Drosophila melanogaster: one gene and its partner. The protein of the gene in region 2 interacts with the protein of the main gene of each other region in a pairwise test. Each region holds a gene or a part of one and is shown on either strand. Other genes may lie near its edges.

Evidence for each region. Proteins that work in one complex are often made in the same cells at the same time.
Region 1: the proteins of CG11878 (region 2) and Lamtor1 interact in a two-hybrid assay, tested with the Drosophila melanogaster proteins (one large-scale study listed by BioGRID).

Annotation. Positions count from the first base shown.
Region 1 is NT_037436.4:20,027,287-20,030,606, reverse strand, and holds Lamtor1 (late endosomal/lysosomal adaptor, MAPK and MTOR activator 1), read left to right. Parts: upstream 1-1,586; 5' UTR 1,587-1,654; coding exon 1,655-1,735; intron 1,736-1,797; coding exon 1,798-1,961; intron 1,962-2,228; coding exon 2,229-2,362; intron 2,363-2,421; coding exon 2,422-2,492; intron 2,493-2,547; coding exon 2,548-2,640; 3' UTR 2,641-2,788; downstream 2,789-3,320. Other genes in the region: CG14183 (uncharacterized protein), read left to right, coding at 2,846-3,320.
Region 2 is NT_033777.3:25,272,276-25,275,771, forward strand, and holds CG11878 (uncharacterized protein), read left to right. Parts: upstream 1-1,561; 5' UTR 1,562-1,572; coding exon 1,573-2,638; intron 2,639-2,694; coding exon 2,695-2,891; 3' UTR 2,892-2,962; downstream 2,963-3,496.

The DNA of each region.
Region 1 (3,320 bases), on a different chromosome or scaffold from region 2:
TTAAGTCGTTAATGTGGTTGAGGTTTTTTGCCTACAGTTCCGCCGAACCACGCCCATCCAGACCAAATGAGCTAGCAGAAATTGAACTTTGCAAAGCCATCAAATTAAATAAATACTGAATATAGTGTTTCCTCACAAGTGAAATGCTAAATGCTCTTAGCATAAAAAATAAATATAATTTATTAAAAAAATTTTATGTATAATGCATAATTTGTATATAATATTTGTTTTCCTGGCTGGTTAGTATATCATCATAAATCTAAAAACAATGGACTTACTCAGCTAATGAGCTGTCTAGATAAAACCCAACATCCTCGAAGGAAATCCCTTAGATGGCGTATCGCAAAATGACGATGTAAGATGCCTATTCCCGGTCGGCAAGCCGCAGACATATGCACCTCCTTAGATGTACTGATCGATATCCTTTGGGGCCGTGTGCAGGCGCAGGATAATTGAATTTGAAGTGAAGCTGCTCCTTGTGGCAGTTATGAAATTTCTAGCCCGGCTTCCGCTGCCAGGGAACGGAAACAAAAGCGGGGCAAAACGAAGTTACAAGTTGCCAGCAAGTGTGAGTGTGCGTCTGGCTCAATATATGGGCATGGTGCCGGGTCTGGAGGTGGCGCAAAGGATCAGGATGCGATGACGAGGCCCACATCAGTGCTGCCAGGAGGAGACAATAAATTCACTTAGGCGGCGGAAACAGAAGAACAAACTGAAGGGAAAACTCAATAAATTAGACCGTATTGGAGAGAAAAACTGTTTTTTAACGGCCATATTAAGTTTTAAATTCTTATGAATCTTGAACTTTTTCACTCTACGTAAGATATTCGAAGAACATCAGCCCATTCAGAAACCCCAATATTACACATTATGTTATTATGGTTTTACATTTTTCAGAGGTTCTTCTTGTGGAAAGGATAGCAAAAGCTGTCAGCACTGCCACACATGCCCCCATGTCATGCAGCCTCGGCAATGAATTTGCGTTTCCGCCTCGCCGCTTTCGCCATCATGGTTAACCGCGTCGTTGATTTAAGGGCGTTCTCCGTTCCTTGCGAGTAGCTGGCGTACTCCGCATCCTTTGTCCTTACTGCTCGAGCGACACAATTAAAAATGTGCGGCCCAATTCATTTGATTGGCACGAAGGAAGCGACGAGATAAGCAACTTCCGTTGGCTGAAATTTTGGCATCTTCATCAATCAAGAATGTGCTCGTTCTCGTGGGCTGGCTGTTGGGGAAAATGTCATATAGGTTGATAGAAAAAACAGCAATATAAATATTTCAAATTAATAATTGATGTCTACCAAAAGCAGTTAAATTTTTTAATATCTTCACAATTATTGCCGATTTCCAATAAAAATATAACAAATTAATAAAGTATAAATTTAAATCAACTTAATTCCCAATAAAAAGTATTTCATAATAAATAAAACAAGGATAACGCTAGGAACAGTAAGTAATAAACTAGTATTCCCTTATGAAAACCCATGAATTTAATGTCCGATTAAAATTGTAATATTTAGCGCCTAATCGATAACAAGTATGTATACAGCTGTTTTAAACTGTCTGGTAGCACTGATCTTATCGAATATGTACAATTCCATCCCTAGAAAAACTTGCATAAAAAATAAAGAACAATTGAACAATTGCATTTAGAATGGAGTATGTGCACTCTGTTTGGAGCTACCTAGCCTCGATCTGCAACTGCTGGCAATGCACCGAAGATCCAGGTGCGCAGGTAATCCGCACATTCCCCTTTCCCCGTCAACAGACCGAATACACAATGCGTTCCATCTGCAGCCCAACGAGCCGAACGAGCGGACACACCTTCTCGTGGACCCGGTGAACCATAGTCCTGCCCTTCGACGGAGCAACTCCGATGGCCTCAGCACCGACTACGCCCACTCCCTTCCCAAGAAGGACGATCAGAACGCCCTCTCCAGACTGGTGCAGAATACTGCGATGTACGTAGTTGATAGTGTATAGGGTCCACATTTGGCACTATCATATACAATTCCATTGATTGGAATGCTAGCATTTTACAGCGATTGCTATACTATACTATACTATAGTAGTATACCTACGTAGTTATAGCGATGGCAGGATCTAGTATGTAGTATGGTTATACCCAAGCATTTATCGGGATGTTCAATGCAACAAAGCAACACAGCCCTAATTATCGCTTATCTATATTATATTTGTATTCGCTTATACGCTACTTTGCTCTCCAGAAACATGATAAACGTTGGAGCCATGGACTGTCACAGCCTGGAGCACCAGGAGTACGCCGATAGAATAAGATTGTACTCGCAGCGGTTGCATCAACAGTGGAACAACGGCCAGCACGCCAGTATCGCACCAAAAGGTTTGCAATATAGCTAGATTGAAAGGGTGAATGATGACTAACAATTAAATGAACAACAGGTCTCCTTAAAGATGTACCAAGCCATCAGTTCTATCTGTCTAAGCCAACCTATCCAGATGACACTGCTCAAGTGAGTTTTACTTTTCGCAAATTGCTTGTTGCTTACCAATTTCGTATGTTTTTAGATGAAGCTCTTCACCGAGAAGGCACACATCAGTGTCTCGCACATACAGATCGACCACAAAGAGGCCGTGGTTGTTCCCTTCCGGATTCCCTGATTATCGTATCTTAAGTGAAATAAAGTGATAAATTTATATAAAATCAAAATCTATATTGGTACTAAGTAGCCCTTGAATAACCAGGTAATCGACTTATTTTCATTAAGTGTACAGAAGCAAATAAATACATACTATATTCTTAACACGGCAAGACATTTTTTTTATTTAGGAAGGCACACACACACACATATAGCTAAAATCCAAAATGTCGTTCGATCTTAACCATAAATTTTGGGTCTACACGCGCAAGGAAATTGGTAAATTAATCAAGAAGCAGAACCGCCTGAAGAAGATTGAGCCGCCAGAGGAAAAGGCAGTATCGTATAAAATTTACGCAGAGCTCTATGTTTTGTATGTGGAGCTGGTCAATAAGTTAAGTTTCATATACCACAATACTTTCCAAGTGCAAAAGCGGGCATTGGTACGTGTTTTGGTGGAGAATGCCACTCAGCAGCTAATGCAACTCAAGGAGGAGTTAAAAGACTTGGAAATGAGCGAATACATTTACATAGATAAGGCGCTGATCGCTAGGAAGCTAACACCACGGGACCTGGTCGTATGGAGGTCACCACAATTCCTTTACCGTCGCCCGTTGGACATTCAAAATATCATTGCCGACAACCGATTGTACATGAACGATGAGGAAAAGGAAGAAAAGGCAGCCCAGGATTGGGTTCCGA
Region 2 (3,496 bases):
CTCGATCATCTTCGAGGATATGTCCCTGGAGAATTACAGAGTGGCCGATCGGCTCAAGAAACTGGATCTGGAGCACACTCATCTGGTACTCGAGAAGCTGGCCAATTTCCATGCTGCCGGAGCAGCCTTGGCTGAGCGCCAGCCTGGAATCTTTGCGAAGAATTTCGATCGTGGATTCTTTAACCAGCATACCCGCGGCTACGAGCCCATCATGAAGAATCTTTTGATGGCTTTGTCCCGATCCCTGGAGCTGGAGCCGGATCTGTGTCAGCGTTACCAGGCAAAGATCGATCGACTGGTGGAGAACGTAATGGAGTACGGAGAACGATCGACGACCATTGTTCCCGGTGACTTTTTGACCCTGGCTCACGGGGATCTCTGGACCACCAATATTATGTTCCAATACGACGACAAAGGACATCCCATAAATGCCATCTTTATCGACTTTCAGTTCAGTGCTTGGAACTCGCCGGCCATCGATCTACACTACTTCTTTTCAACGGCCTTGCAGGCTGATATTCGACTGAAGAAACAGCCAGAGCTGGTCCAGTTCTACTATTACAAACTGAATGCTGCCTTGAAGAAAGTCCAGTATTCCGGAAATGTTCCGAGCCTATTCGTCTTCCATCAGCAGTTCAGGAACAGATCCTTCTATGGTGGGTATACTAACGTGCCTGGTTAAGGAATTTATATTCATTTATGTTATCATTCAGCTGCCTTCGCATCACTGATCTTTGAACCAACGATGACGTACACGGGCAAGGAAGAGGCATCAATGGATCAGATAATATCCCTTTCGGAGAAGGGAATGCGCTTTAAGGATGACGCATTTCAGGCGGAGGAGACCAGGAAAAAGATGCGTCTCACTTTGCCCTTTCTTGATCATTTGGGTTTACTAGACGTGATGTAAAGCGAAAATAGTAATATTATTATCGTAATTATAGATTTTATATTTGCTTATAAAATATAATAAATACAAAATAATTTCGATTACTTTCCCTGCTATTACTAACTTTTATTAATTGTGTATGCACTTATGAATGACAATTCACAGGTGCTAATTGTAGGTAAATGTTTAGAAAACATGAAAACGGGACAAAATCCGTATTAAAAAGTTTTCTAATTGTTTTTGTTGATATTGACATTAAAATTAGCTACAGACGACGATACGGGGGAATTCTTGGAAAAACTATCAAGGCAACCCACTAAATTAATTCACTTACTTTTTACGATATTCGATAACAAACAATAAAAAATATTAAGTTGTATTTCTCTTCTTTGGGAAATGTAAAACAAAATGAATTAATTATAAATTTGTTGCGATGAATCTGTATATGGTGATAAGTTGCGAAATTTTGGTTACCAGGAATACTTAATAAAAAGTGCATTGCAAAAAACGTGAGCGTTCGACCAGACTCGAAATTGTTCAAGTGTTGTTTGTCCATGACGAAGCCAGTTGCCACGAGATACTTGCACTAAACTTATCATATATACACTAAAGTTGGCTATAAAAGTGGTCGGACTCCGTTCGCAATGTCGCAGAAGCGAAAGCCCTGAGTTACGGATAGGATCATGACTGAGAAATCTACCCACAAAGTTCACCCAGCGCCAGTTTGGCTCACCTCGGAATATGTGCAGGATAAGTTGCGCACCTACTTCAAGGATAGCTCACTGAAGCTGGCGACGTTGGATACAAAGCCAGCCGTGGCCAATGGAGGAAACTACGGCAGCGTGATGACCCGCATCAATGTGGAGTACACGACCAAGGTATCGAAAGGGAAACAGTCCACCACATTTCTGGTTAAGACCACATTCGCTGACCGGGATCCAGCCGGCGATGTGCTCATCCACTATGGTGTCTACACCCGTGAAATGGATATATACGAGCACATCCTTCCCCAGCTGGCGGATATGGTGAGGAAGGAGCTTAAAGACTCCAGGAAGCTCTTTGCGGCCACCATGAATGTGGACCGCGAAAGGGACTCGATCATCTTCGAGGACATGTCACTGGATCATTACAAGGTTGCATGCCGTCGAAAGAAGCTGGACCTAGAACACACCCACCTGGTACTGGAGAAACTGGCCCTCTTTCATGCAGCTTCATCAGTTCTCGCCGAGCGACAGCCGGGTATCTTCGACAAGAACTATGATCGTGGCTTTTTCAACAAACACACCCGGGCATACGCCCCGATCATGACCAATCTTCTGGAGGCTCTGTCCCGCTCCCTTGCTTCGGATGAGGAGTTGGGACAGCGGTACAAGGCCAAGATCGACAGGCTTGTGGAACGTTTGATGGACTATGGCGAAAGATCGACGACTAGTAGTCCTGGCGACTTTTTAACTCTGGCCCATGGAGATCTTTGGACCACCAACTTTATGTTCCAGTACGATGCAAAAGAGCATCCCACGAATGCCATCTTCATTGACTTCCAGTTCAGCGTGTGGAACTCGCCGGCCATCGATCTCCACTACTTCTTCTCCACCTCGTTGCAGGATAATCTTCGCTTGGAACATCAAACAGAATTGGTTCAGTTTTATTACTATAGGCTGACGGAGGCCCTAAGGAAGTTAAAATATGCTGGTCGGATACCCAGCTTGTTCGACTTCCAACTGCAGTTCCGCTCGAGAGGATTCTATGGTGGGTACAGTTCTTAACTCTCTTTCAAAATAGTTTTTTAAATAATTTATCCGCAGCCGTATTCTGTTCCTTGATTTTTGAGCCTGTCATGCAGTACGAGGGCAAAGAGGATGCTTCTATTGAGCAGGTCCTATCCAGTTCCGAGAGTGGAATGCGATTCAAGAACTCAGTTTATGAATCGGAAAATATAAAAAAGAAATTAAGTGTCACACTGCCTTTTCTGGATCAGTTTGGATTGCTGGATGACATGTAATGATAATCTTGAACTTGTGTAAATAGTTAAAATAAATAAAAGTTTAAGTACTACTACGTATTGGCTCAACTACGTCGTTGCTTTTAATTTCCTGGGAAAATACTTATCTAATAGCTTGATTGCACTTTATGTGTGTAATTCGGCAATAACTGACCTTTTTATATGAAATACAGTGTTCATGACTGATAATAGCGCTTTCGAGTTTATTTCGGCAAGATAGTGCTAAACTCTTGACAAACAAAAGGTGCAAGCAATACTAAAAATCTCAGAAGATAACAATTACAAGCCCTTGAATCGTGGTGAAATAGAAACAATCGCGATACGCCAAAAGATAAGCCGCAGATGTTTTAGCTAATAAAAGAAACTAATATTTACCTACAACAAATAAATACGAATACGAATGTATTTAACAAGTCAAGGTGTACTACTGAGGAAAAAACTTGTAAGTGAATTGTTGCGTCCCCCTTATAACTCATACGCACCGTTGGCCCGCTTATCGTTTGCTTTAAAACGTCACATTTAATATAGTTTTATGAATACAAACATTTACAATAGAACCATTGTGTGTTCTATTTCTAATCTTATTGCTTACCAACTTGCAATAA